Linked DNA regions of Lonchura striata. The protein of the gene in region 1 interacts with the protein of each later gene in a biochemical or structural test. Links are inferred from orthologs where the notes say so. Each region holds a gene or a part of one and is shown on either strand. Other genes may lie near its edges.

What was found. The genes of interacting proteins can lie anywhere in the genome.
Region 2: the proteins of RNH1 (region 1) and ribonuclease CL2 are reported together in a solved structure, tested with the Homo sapiens proteins (3 studies listed by BioGRID and IntAct, with this or other methods). The link is inferred for Lonchura striata from reciprocal best matches to the Homo sapiens genes RNH1 and ANG.

The regions. Positions count from the first base shown.
Region 1 is NC_134608.1:44,411,939-44,419,417, reverse strand, and holds the start of RNH1 (ribonuclease inhibitor), read left to right. Parts: upstream 1-4,460; 5' UTR 4,461-4,714; intron 4,715-6,465; exon of another isoform or gene 6,466-6,538; intron 6,539-6,648; exon of another isoform or gene 6,649-6,731; intron 6,732-7,479. UniProt on the Homo sapiens protein: Ribonuclease inhibitor which inhibits RNASE1, RNASE2 and angiogenin (ANG). May play a role in redox homeostasis. Required to inhibit the cytotoxic tRNA ribonuclease activity of ANG in the cytoplasm in absence of stress.
Region 2 is NC_134606.1:43,716,186-43,722,213, forward strand, and holds ribonuclease CL2, read left to right. Parts: upstream 1-4,485; 5' UTR 4,486-4,581; exon of another isoform or gene 4,582-4,587; intron 4,588-4,971; 5' UTR 4,972-4,977; coding exon 4,978-5,412; 3' UTR 5,413-5,509; downstream 5,510-6,028. Other genes in the region: RPS3A (small ribosomal subunit protein eS1), read right to left, coding at 252-460, 622-809, 1,923-2,026, 2,269-2,330. UniProt on the Homo sapiens protein: Secreted ribonuclease that can either promote or restrict cell proliferation of target cells, depending on the context. Endocytosed in target cells via its receptor PLXNB2 and translocates to the cytoplasm or nucleus.

The DNA.
Region 1 (7,479 bases):
CCTTCACCTGGAGGCCTCTGGTGGAGCCAAAACACTTCTTCATCTTCTGCAAATTTAAGAAGGAGTCATTGATATAGGTGGCATTTATTTAAAAAAAGGTCAAGACTTTGCTCCCTGAATTTATCCAATTGCAAAGTTCAAGCAAGTTCTTCACATTCTGCCCCTATTCTACTGCAACAAGCCACAAGGAATAACCAAAAGCTTAAAAAAAAAAAAGAAAAAGAAAAAAAAAAAAAGAGAGAGAGAGAAGCTGTTTATTAAAACTGATGGTGTATCATAACGAAAAAACAACCTCACAGGATTACACTCAGCTGGCATTTCCATCCCTGCCACAAACTGAACTGGGATTCAGTGGAGGAAAACAATTCTGAGCACTTTCCTCAGTTATATGCACAAGGAAATTATCTTTCTGGCAAATTTCAATGACAAAGAATGAAATTCAACTTTCAAGCTGCTCTCAGGCTCCAGCCTACACCTGAGGAAACTCCAAAATATCCCACCCCCAAACCTTTGCAGCAAATTAATTCTAATAATCCAAGGAAGAACTGGATTAAAGAGAGAATGCAGTGGGTTTTTTTATGGCACAAGTCTTATGGGAAGCAGCTGAGGGAACTGGAGCTGTTTAGCCTGGAGAAAAGGAAGCTCAGGAGACCAAATCACTTCTACAACTGCCTGGAAGGAGTTTTAGGCAGGTGAAGGGGTCTCTTCTCACAGGTGACAAGTTACAGCATCAGTGGAAATGGCCTCACGTTGTGTCATGGGAGGTTTAGATTGGATATTAGGAAAAAATTATTCTCTGAAAGGATGGTCAGGCATTGGAACAGGCTGCCCAGGTAAATGTTGGAATCACCACCCCTGGAATTGTTCAAAAGGCATGTGGATGTAACTCTGGGTTATGGTTTAGTGGTGAACACAGTGTTGCTGGGTTAACAGATGTACATGATCATTTTGAGGTCTTTCCTGACCATCGCGACTCTAGGATACAAAGTGATTTTTTCTGGACACAAATACCCATGAATTCTCATGGATATTCTCATGGAGACTAAAGAGAGATGCCTCTACTGGCAGAGGACATCTATTATTCCTTTCTGCAAAAAAGCAATGGTATCATGTAAAGTGAGGTCTGAAAACCAGATTAGCATATGGTGGTTGAGGTTCTTTTAGCTCCAAGATTTCATTCTTGCCTTTTAAAGCTGATTTAAACTCACACTTCTGAGTCCTGGACAAAATAATGAAATAACCAGCTGTCCCTACAGTGACCTTCAAAGTTTCAGCAAATTATTCAAGTCTTCCTGTGCAGCAAGATTTAACAGGAAAGTGAGATCCATTGCAGTCTCCCATTTCATCAGCTGCTGCACAGCTGGCATGAAGAGACTGTGCTGTGAAATACACCTGTGTTTCTGGTCTAGTCCTCTCCGTTTCCCCTCTAGCTGTGGCTCCATCTCAGCCCTCAACCCCTGCAATGTCTTGGTGACCAAGGGCAACTTCGGGATGAGGGAAAACCAGAGGACCATAAGTCTGGTCAAACTGATGCTGCATCGCCCTCTGCAGACGGGCAGGCAAACACTGCCGAAGGCTGAGACAGAATATGAAGAAAAGCAGGGATGTGAGAAAAATTCCTCTGACAGTACTTTTTCTGCAGGTGTGTTGGTTGATGTAGATATCTGGCAAGCTCCGTTTTCTTGGGGCTCCATTTTCCCTGGACCCACTGTGAAAGACTGTATCCACAGGGATAAAATATTACACATACACTCACAGCACTACTTCAATATAATGCTCTCCACTCCCTCAAAAAAAAAAAAAAAAAAAACAAAAAAAAAAAAAAAAAAAAAAAAACAACCCAAAAAAACCCACAGTGCAAAATGGAAACAACAGCTTTTCTTTTACAAGAACAAGGAGACCACATTAGAACAGCAAGAATTTCCTCTCTAATGGTTTTCTTGTGGGAATCTATAATGAGCTGCCACAGAATGGAACATCCATATGTGTGTGTGCACGCATGCAAGTCAGGGTGAGCAATTGCCTGTATTTTCTGAAACACCCAAACCTTGCTCACAGCTTGCTACCAGCACCTGTTTATAACCTCCTTTTTTTTTTTTTTTTTTTTTTTTTTTTTTTTTTTTTTTTTTTAGCTCCTGAGGCATCAGTTAAGCCACAGTGTCAGGTTCTCCATTCTAGCTCCACAGATACTTTGCTCCCCAGTGCTTAATCAGCCCACTGACTCTTCAGGAATGACCCAAGTTTTGCATTTCCTCACCCTACAAAGCCTTACTTCAAATTTGCACACAAACTGAAGGAACAAATGGCTTCCAGCAATGGATCAAGTAGGATATAAACAAATCACTCACTGCAACAAATGGAGCTGGGCAGATGCTTAAAACTCACGGTTTTGATCTCCACAGCTGAATTTATGGAATGAATTTGCTGGTACAGATCACATAATCAAGTTAGAAAAAGATCTGTCACTACTCTTAGAAGTTTATTGTCTTTAATTACCATTAAGTATATGCACAGAGGCATCATAAGAGCAGAGAGGACAGAACAGGAAACTGCTAGAAGGGGAAGAGGCAGAGTTTTCAGTTTACACTAATGGCCTTAATTTAAGTGTTTTTTTGTAAGTTTACTCTAGGATTGTGTGCATAAATTTAGTTTTAAAATAAAGTAATCTTAAATGCAGAGAGGCAGCAGGGGCAAGATGGGCATCATTATGCTCTCCCTCCCTGCTACAAAGGCCAAAAGAGGGAGAGGATCTAAAAAAAAAAAAGAGGAGATAAATTTGAATGAACGCAAAAGGATAATGGGAAACTGTGATAAAGAGGAGAACACAGGGCAGATGTCACTGCCAGACTCCTCAAGGCATCTTTAAGGAATCAGCCTGAGCCTGTACAAATAACCAAATGGACATGCCTTCCATGTCAGGAGTCTTCCACTGTTTCAGTGGCAAGACATTCACAGGTATTTCTCACTTGTGTTTGCTGTTGGCTTTCTGAGCCCCATTTTGTATCATTTCCTCTGGATCTGTGTGTATCTCGATGAGCAGGATGGCCTGGTCCTGCATGCTAGGAAAAAGGCAATAGATTTTTTCCAGAGATGCCTTTTGTTGTCCCCACAGTGAGGGCAGCCAAAGGGTACAAAAGCACATAACCTTTTGGTAAGGCTATTTGGCCTATAAATATAATATTTCACCAACACAGACCAGAGTGTATTGGGAGTTTTGCCCAGGACAAGAGGTCTACAGAAGGTCCATGTGACATAAACCTCTCTGAAATCACTAACAAACACTAGACTTTGTCCTTTAGAGACTCCTGATAAGTGCAGTGAAGTGGGAACCAAGAGCAGAGAGATGCCAGCAATGGCTGAATAGGAAATGACACCTTTGCTGTCGGATCTTCAAATTGCCTGGTTGACTGGGAGATCTGCCAGCATAAACTTTCTTCCTAACACTAGTGGTCTTCTGAAAGCATCATGCCAAGCAAAAAGGGCAGAGACATCCTTCAATAGCCACAGCATCCCCTCCATTTGCCTGCCAGGGAGCATCCTAACAAGCACCAAAGCCAGGAGCTCAGGCCATCCCCAAGCTCTTGCCTGTGCTTCAGCAGGTTTCAGGTCAGACCCAGAAGCACAAGGACTAGCAAATTCTTTATGTGGATGACCCTGTTTTCCTGAGAGGGAATAGGGAAGAGGTGAATTCTCTGGCTTTCAACTCTCTTCTGGGCACTGAGGAAGGTGGGTTTTAGCTCACTGAGCTCTCCTGGTTCCAATCTCCTTCAGGAGAACTGTAATAAATGCAGCTGGAGGGAAAGCCTCTAGTGTTTCTCCTGTGACTCAACAAAGGCTCTGTTTCCCAGGACATCATTCTACCATCATCTCTGTCAGCATCTGCAGCCACAGAAGGGAAAGACAAATCTGTCCTTCTGCTACTGGATCATTTTCAGACTATTGAAAAATTAATTCATCTTCACACCATTGAGAATGGGGGAAGAAGGCACGTTACTTCAACCCGCAACTTTTGTGCAATACAGCTTGAGTGAAGGCAGGGTTTTCCTTGAGGAGGAGAAGAGCCTCAGTGGGAATTTGGGAGGAGAAGGTTGTAGGAGTGAGGTCCATGCTAGCTGCTGAGGGGCAGTTTTAGGGAGACACAATGAGGACTGTGCCCAAGGGACCCTTCCTGACAGTGTGAGCATTCAGCTTGTGCAGAAGCAGGGGACTGACTGCCTGTGCCCTAGCCCCTGCTGGGAAGAGGGATGCAGAGACCCCAGTAAGGTGACAGGTAATGTGCTCAGCATCATTCCTAAGCCTGGCAGAACAGGCTTGCCTGGAAAATGGAGAAACTAGGCAAACTTCACCATCTCTACCCACACTTCAACACTGTGGTGGCCTCATTTTCGGATGGATCCTTCAGTGGCAACTACTCCTTTGTTCTGTGCTAAACCATGGCAAGTGGCCACATAATCCAGTGCGAGAAGTAAAAGCTGCCTCTGTCACCATCAGGAGCTTTTTGCACCATTTGCTTAGTCACAAGCCAGACATAATCGTGCTTGCTCTGCAAGGCCCTGAAGAGCTGCCACGAGAGGAAAAAAGCCGTCAGAGCCCAAAACTGTTTCCCTCCCTCTAGCAGGCACCATGTGTACGACAGCAGAGGTTGCGTGGTAACGACAGCAGGAAGGCGCCGGCTCTGCTCCCCTCGCTGCTGCACAGAACCGACAACAGCAAGGTACGTACCAGCGGCAAAAGCAGGCTCTGAAACTCCCGAAACTTTCCCTCCTGCTTTCCGGGGAGGAGCACGGAACCATTTCAAAGCCCTGCTTTGTAGGGAACAGCTGCTTGTGCTTAGTTGAACTGTTGTGTGAGCCAGGGTTATGGAAAGAGGGTGTTTGTAGGTAGAAAAAACTGGGGAGACGCTGAGATCTTGGGGGTGGAGGGAGAAAGGCAAGTCGGGGTGTCGCCTAATGCCTCTCGGCACTTCAAAACCTTTCTTTGTTCGGTCTTGTGAAAATCTGAATGAGCTTTTACCGAGGTTAAAACTACCGGGAAACAATAGGGAGGGAGACAGGGAGTAGCTAGCAGGCGGAGGAGGAAGCGAGCCAAGGGATGACGAATGCCTTCCAGCCCTGACCAAGCGCTGCCACCCTCGCCCTGCCACGGGACGGATGTGCGGGACAGCCACTGGTCACTGGGGTCAGTGGGGGCAGTGGCACGGGGAGAGCCCGGAGCGCAACAGGCCTGGCAGCAGCACAAGGCCGAGGCGCCCATCCTCCACTGCTGTCACAGCTCCGTTCCAAAGGGCTCAGAGAGAGAGGCCTTTGTGCCAGCGAGGTGCAGCTCTCTGCCGGTGTTGGGCTGATGAGGGACACAGATACGAGAAGATGCGTCGTGGATAGACTGGTGCCAGGGATGGGGAGCAGGGGCTGCCAGGCCCTCCGAGCTGGCCTCCCGTGCACAGCTGTCTGGAAGATGGAAGTCAGGGAGACCACTGAGGATATTTTTGTTGTTTCCAGTTCAAACAATTCCTAGTTCCGTGCTCCCTGGGGAAATCTTGTCTCCCCTAGCTGAGATCTTGCCACGGTGCCTCTGCTCTGGGTGATCTGCATGCATTCCCATCTTGCTCCAGGTCCTGGCACACTGCAAAGGTTGCCCTCTCAGCTGATTGGTACACTACCTCATCTTCTGTTTGATACTGCCACCTTTTGTGCATCCCCTTATGATAGGGATTTCTCTTTCTCCTATTTTGTTTCCTGCGTATCCCAGTGCTCCTCCTCAGGGGGTATCAGGGAGGATGGGAAAAAAAGGGCAACAGGATATAGGAGTAAAAGGAAAGGGAGGGAAAAAGGTCGAAAATAGAGAAGTTGGTGAGAAGATGAAAAAGAGGAAAGACAGAGGAGGAGAGATAGCAGAAAAAAGGAGGGCAGAAAAAGGAACAAAAGAGAATGGTTAAAGAGAAAAATGAGAGAAGAGAGAGGGAGGAAGAGAGAAGTGAGGGAGGGAGGAAGAGAGAAGTGAGGGAGGGAGGGAGGGAGGGAGGGAGGGAAGGAAGGAAGGAAGGAAGGAAGGAAGGAAGGAAGGAAGGAAGCAAGGAAGGAAGGAAGGAAGGAAGGAAGGAAGGAAGGAAGGAAGGAAGGAAGGAAGGAAGGAAGGAAAAACTAAAAAGTTAAAAAAAAGGAAGTGAGGAAAATGGAAGGAAGGAGATATGAAGGAAACAGATAAAGGAGAGTGGAGGGGGAAAGCAAGAAGGGAAAAGAGAGGAAAGGAGGAAAGAAGGTCAGAAAAGAGGGGGAGAGGGAAGCAGGGAGAAGTCAGGAAAAATTTAGAAAGGGAAAGACAAATGGAAAAGAGAGGGGAAAGGGCGTTAAGTGTCAGAGAGGGCATGAATAAATAGAGAGGGGGAAAACGGAGGGAAAAAGGAAGAAAAAGGGAGAGAAAGAGGAAAAGGGGGAAGAAAGGGGAAAAGGGGAGGAGGGACAGATCCTGCTCCTCCCCGCCGCGATACGAGGCGGAGCCGGGCCGGAGCCGGCGGCAGCTGCGCGGTGGCGGCGCGGCGGTAGGAGCCGGGAGCCGGGCCGGGCCGGGGCGGAGGGAGCAGGGAGGGAAGAAAGCCTGGGAGGGAAGAGCGCTGCTTGCGGTGCGGGAGGCGGCGGGGCGCGGCGGCAGCGGTGGCGGCAGTGCCTCGGGGTAGGACCGGGCCGCTCCCGGGACCCCGAACGGAACGGGATCCCTCCTCGGCTCGCAGGAAGGTGCAGAACTCGGGGCTGCGGGGAGAACCTCTTCTCGATCCGGGGGGGGCTAAAACGGGAGAGTGCCCGAGCGACGCGGCGAGGGCTATGGCAGTCCGGCTGCCACTGTCCCCTCGCGTGTCGCCGCTGGCTCCGATCCCCATCAGCCCGCGACACGTGGGGCTGTGGTGCGGTCCCGCGGAGGCCGTGGGCCGGGATTCCCGGCAGCGCTCGCGTTGGGAAGGGAAGGGCCGAGGCCGGGCAGGTCGGTGCGCTCTCGCTGCCGCTGGCGCCGTGTCCCGGTCCGGCCGCGGTTGCCGAGCCCCTCCCCACGTGGGTGCCGGGTTTGTTGTGGGCGCGCCCTGACGGCAGCGCTGGTGCGCGCCGGCCTCCGAAAAGCCAGCTTGGGGTCCCCGCGATGTTACGGCGGCAGGCAGGAGGGGACTGGAAAGAGGGACGACGGTGGCTGCCTGCAGCTTACATTCCCACGGAATAGCTCAGGGATTATTTCTTTTTCATGCCCCGTAGTCTGAGTCATGCTGGCCAAACCAGGAGACCAAGGCTGCATTTTATCACCTACTACAGCGGTGCCTTTAACCCCATCCCTTGTAGACTAAACCTAGAGCTCAGCTACTGGCCTTGGCATGTTTTTGTGCACGTTTATCTGGAGCTGTTCTGCACAGCGCTGTTTACATCAGTTCAGAAATGCAGTTTTACTGCAGACCAAAAAAAAAAAAAAAAAAAAAAAAATCTGCTTACCAGCTTCTCT
Region 2 (6,028 bases), on another chromosome or scaffold:
AATCTTCTGGAGAGTGATTTTACATTTATGCAAACGTGACAGTGGATTCAGGTCAGAAGGGATGCAGACACTAAGAGGAGCCAATTGCAGAGAAGGACAATTGGCTTTTCCACACCAGGGACTCCTTGCCTGGTCTCTGGCAAACAGCTTGGGATGCACCAGCGCTCCTCCCTCAGGCATTCAGCACAAATCAACCCCCAAACAAGGATTTAAACTGTAGGGGACAAAAAAAGAACACAGCCAAAGCTTACAGCTTATTGACAACTTCCTTCAGGTCATTGGTCTGCACCTCCCGGGTCATGATCTCCATCATTTTCTTGCGGATCTGCCGGACCTGCTGGTGCTGGGCATAGGAGGTCTTGCGGATTTGGTTATTGCGCTTCTTGGTGAAGCCCACGCAGAAGAGGCGCAGCAGGTACCCGTCTGTGGTTTTGACATCCACGTGGGCTTCAATCATTGTCTGCAAGAGGGAGCAGGACCATCACCACCCACGCAGCACGGGCTGCCCAGCCCCACACACCCCACGCCGTCCGATGCCGCTTCAAACACAGCTTTGCCAGGCACCAGCGCTCCCTCCCTCCCTGAGGCACCGGCAGCGACCACACCTTGTTTCTTACACACCTGCCATTTTTTGACCATGGAGCACATTTTGTCCCGTGTGAGGTCCATCCCATGGAAGTTGGTCAGACAATTTTTGCCCTGAACGTCCTCAGTGATCAGTTTAAATTTGCGGAAGGCAACCTCATCATTCTGCAGATCAGCCAGGCTCACTTCAAACACGCGGCCCTTCAGCCCGTCAGAGGCAATTTCTGGGAGATGGAACAGAATAAAACACCTTAGATTAACATTAGAAGCACATTCTTCAAATCAGATACTAAATTCCCGCTGGAATCCTGTTCTCTGATATTTTCTAATGGTGATCACAGAGCCAGCAAGGTTGGAAATTTCTCCCTTTGGGAGGAATCTTTCAAGGCAGTATTATCAGGTGTGGGATACGGACAGCAGCACACACCAGTTCCACGTGTAATAATTTGGTTTGTTTCAAGCATAAATGGGTTACAGAGTATTTGGAAATTATCAACAGTCATGAGAAAACTAAACATAAAAAGCCACAAGTGCTCAGCAGAGATGAAGTAGGAATGAACAGCCCAGTACAATCATTTCACCGCTCCTCCTCCAACGAGGAGCCATTTTAACAACACTGGCTGGTTTGGCAGCAACCCTCATTTTATTTGTTTCAGATGTTACAGTTCAAAGCAACAATCATCATCCCAACTTTGAGTGCAGCCAGCAGAGTATCATAAGGCTGTTCAGCCATTCTCCATGGCTAAACTTCCAAACACATGGTCACCTCTATCCAGACACCTCTGCATTGCTAACAGAAGTCTCTCTTCCTAAGATGTGCCACACGAATTTACCCTCCTGTGATACATCAGTGCTCCCATTAAGTCAGCAATTCCGGCTCTAATCTTTACTCAAAAGCTTTACATTTCATCTATTTCAGTGTCTTCATGTGTTGGTCGTTATGGTACTACTAGGACTAAGGTCTCCTGTGGCACCGTCCCACATCTCCCCCCATGACAATCAGTACTACTGCTTACTTCCTGAACCTTTCCCGACTTGCCAGGTTACAAGGGAAACTCATTAGAAACTTCAGGCCCTTTCTTCCATGGTTTGGCATTGCTGTACAAACAAGAGTCCAGTGTACGAACTTCCTGCAGCTAATCTCATTTATTCAAACAGCTCAGTCAACTCAAAAAAAATCCACTCAAATCACCCAACTTTTTAAGCTTCCAAGCTCGTAATAGTAGAAGCATTTTTCATTTTTCAGCAGTCTTTTATACAGAGAGTTCTTTAAGCGCTTGGAGCTAGCATGCGGAGCAATCACAATCCCCGGTACTGCCCCAAGCCCAAGCACTCACTAGTTCCTTGAGTCCTGGTGACAAGCGTCTTCCCGATGTTCCGGATATTGAACATCGCCGGTGCTTTGACATCGTACCAGTCCTTCTTGGAGAAAGGGTCGACCCTTGAATCAAACGAAGCAGGTTTTTTAACCGACCTTCTCGGGCCACACGGGGCTGCAGCATGCCCTTCCTCTCCGGCTGCCGCCGCCGCTCCCGCCCCGCCGGGCCCACGCCCGCCATGACGGCATCGGCCCTGCTCCGGCCGGGCCGCGGCCGCCATCCGCCCCGCATCCCCGGCATCCCACCTCCGCGGCGCCCCGCCCGGCGCCCCCCGCACCGCCCGCCGCGCCCCGGCGGCCCTCACACTTTCTTCTTGGCGCCCTTCTTGCCGCCCTTGGTGAGGCGCTTGTTCTTCCCGACCGCCATGTCCGGCCCGCGCCGCGGAAAGGGCGGCGCGCGCGCTCCCGCGAGATTATACGGGAGCGGCGCTCGCGCGAGACCCGCGAGAGCGGGGCCGCCTCCAGCGCCGGGAGCGGGGGCGGGACGGAACCAACGGCACGGGGGGCGGGGGGAGCCGCCCGTGCTCCTGAGCGCCCCCGCCTGGAGCCCCGCGGGGCGCCCGGCCCCGCGCTCCCGATCCCCGCGGGGCGCCCGGCCCGCGCTCCCGATCCGTGCGGGGCGCCCGGCCCCGCGCTCCCGATCCCCGCGGGGCGCCCGGCCCCGCGCTCCCGATCCCCGCGGGGCGCCCGGAAATGCGGATGCCCCGGTGGGGCAGCTGTGCGGACGGGCAGAGCCACAAGGACGGGGTTCGCTGCACCGACGGTGCTCGGGCGAAAGGCAGGTGCCACCTCCTGCCCTTTCTGATGTCTTCAAGCTGAATTATCTGTCCCCAGGCTGAATCTCATCACCTTTTGTAAACGTAACTGATGTCGTCTGATATTTTCTACAATGGAAATTGGCAATGAGGAACTTTGTATTTCAAGTATTGCATAAGAGTGCTGTCATACAAACAAATAAATATACATCAATAGATGAGAAATATGCATTAGACAAGCAGGCTCATGTGAATTTTACTGTATAAAAGATGTTACTTTTTACCCCATGGAGTGTTTGATTTGTCAAACCTCCACCTTGCATCCTGTGCAGAAAAAAAAAATATCTCCTTTCTAAATTATGTTTTGAGAGCTCCTAGAATCGGCAGCTTTCCCAGGCCTTGGGGCACCGAGGGAACAACCAGAGTGGGTGGTCTGGGCTGCTCCAAATGCCCTGGCTGATGGCTCCTCTCCCCTCTGCACAGAGCAGGAGGAGGCTTCACTCAGCCCTCCTGCATGGGCAGGGATGGCACATGGAGAAGCGGTGCCCAGGACATCACCAAGCAGTTGGAAACCCCCTGGAACAAGAGCTGACCACAGGCTGTGGCTCCCCAATGAGCCTCACAGCAGCCTCTGGCAAGAATATGCCTGGGGCTCTGCCAGGTAGGATGGGGTCCAGCACAGGTACCTGCACCATGCCCACTAAAGAGAGCCCACTGCCAAGCATCCAGGCTTGTTCCTCGTCCGGTGAGTGCCATCCCTTTTCCACCCACACCAGGACAGTGGGAAGCAGTGTGTCTGAGGGGTCATGGTGAGAGTCCCCATCCTCCTTTCATGCCCAGGAGCAGGGTATTGAGAGTCTCAATACCCTGAGTCTCAAGCAGAGTCTCCTGCTGACCTTCCACATCTGCGAGGTTTTGGCCAGGTTCCTGAACAGTTCCCACTGTAGGAACTGTGTACCTTTGAGGAGAATTTCTTCAGAGGCTGTAGAAACGCCACCAGAGCCCAGGGCAGGACCCTCTGCGCTTTCACTGTGGCCAGTTTTGAAAGTGTTAAAGCTCTTTTGGGAAAGGTGCTGCCAAGGACCTCATTCTGTCTTTTCCACTTCCCATCGGAGTCTCTCTGATGTCTTTGAAGAGGGCGATGGAGACCACTTGCACTCACTCGTGACAGCCTCTCCTGGGCACTGCATGCCTCTCCCTCTGGAGGGGACACGCTTTCTTTGAGGCTCTATTACAATGGTCAAGGGAAAGCAGTATTTGGTGAACTCAGGCTGGCTCCTGGCTCTCTGCTTGTCTCTGCATCAATGGAGCAGCTGGGAGCATGGGAGGTAGCAGTGAGGAAAAATGCATCCTGGCACTTCCAGGAGTGTGAATTTGCCTGCAAGGGGACACGGGGAAAAGGAACACATAGGCCCCTTAGCACTGCAGAAGAGCCATGGATGTGCCATATCTTTCAAGAGTTGTAGGAACATCTGCCAGCTGCCCCAGTGGTGATGGTGACATCCTGCCCCCCACCAGGGACCCACATATCTTGCCCTACCACCCAAAAGGACCCAGGTATCCTGCTTTTCATGGGACAGGTGGCCAAGGCCAGAGTGGGCAGGGGCCACGCAAGGGGATGCACGCAGACAGTCACGTGGTTCGTTAATGACTACCTAATGACCTTGGGGGCCATGAGGGTGAGCAGGGCCTCCCGGACACCTGATTCCCCCAGACATCCACTGGACCTTGCTCTTTACCCTGCCCCTCCTCCTGGATCCTTGCCCATTGGGCACAGCTGGGGCCAGTATAAAAGAGGTGCAGAGGAGTGGGAGGGATCCTGGAGACCCTGAGGCCATAAGGGAAACTGAGGCGCGCACACAGGTGCAGGTGAAGGGTGCACAGGGGACCAGAATGCCTGTGGGAGGGCTCTGTGAGGAACCCAAGCATCCAGTGGGGAAGGGAGGCTGTGTATGGCATCCGGGTGTGGGGGCATGGGGTGGATCTATAGGGGAGCCAGGGGTCTGAGGAGCGGGTAGGGGGTGTTCCATGGGGGACTGAGGCTTCCGGGGAGCGCATAACTTAGGGGACCCATGCATCCAGGCGAGATCCACAGATAGCCCATCTGTCCAGAGATGGGCCCCCTGCACTGGGAGGTGATTTGTATGGGACCCAGGGATTTGGGAGGGGAATCTCTAAAATAACCAAGCGCCCAGGGTGGGATTTCCAGTCGGGGGCCCAGAGGTCAGATGGCCCTAACCCCACCTTCCCTAGGTGGCCATGGCGGGCTGGGTGCTGTGCGTGACCCTTGCGCTGGCAGCGCTGGCAGGGGCGGCGGTCGAGACCCGCTACGAGAAGTTCCTGCGGCAGCACGTGGACAACCCCCGGACGTCCACGCTGGCGGCGCATCGCTACTGCGAGACCATGCTGGCGCGGCGGCGCGTGACGGCCCCGGGCAGGCCCTGCAAGCCCTCCAACACCTTCGTGCACGCCCCGGCCACGGACCTGGTGGCCGCCTGCTCCCAGGCGCCCGACCCCGAGACGGGGTTCCACAGCACCCCGAGCGCCCTGAGCCTGACGGCGTGCCGGCTGCGCGGCGGGGACACGCGGCCGCCCTGCGCCTACCGCGCCCGCCAGGCGCAGCAGCACGTGCGCGTGGCCTGCCGCGACGGGCTGCCCGTGCACCTGGCGGGCACCTACACGGCCCCGCAGTGACGCCTGGCACGGACCCTCGTGGGCCCTCGGCGCGGGCGCAGACCCTCCCTGCCGTCAGGGGCTCTGTTAGCGCTGGCAATAAAGGAGGTGTCAGAGGCCTGGGCTCCAGCATCAGCTTCTGGCGGGACCCTGCGATCATACCCCTCCCTGGGTGCCCCCTGCGCCTCTTGGGTCACCCCAACCCTGTCCAAGATGTATTTGGCCCCCGTGTGCCTTATGGTTCCCAGGAGGCTTGGAACACCCATAGGCCACTGAGGTGTCTCTGCCCTCTCCCCTTTCTTGGGTGTCTCACAACTCCCATGGGTTCCCCATAATCACCACCACCCTCCCAGCCCAAGGCCCACCAATCTCCTGGATGTGTACCCAGCCCTCTCCCCAGTGTCCTGACCCTTTGGGTGTCACATTGCTTTCCTGGATAGCCCATAACTCTCACAGGGTTTCCCAACCTCCCCCATGCCTTATAACCCCACTGGGTACCCCCGAATTCCCTCATGTCTGCGCCATAAACTGTCTGATGCCCCATCTCCCACATGCCTCTGAGCCCATCCGTGATCTCTCTGGGGCTGAAGCTGCTCCCCCTCGGGGCCCTCACAGGACCGAGCCCTGGCTGGGGCCA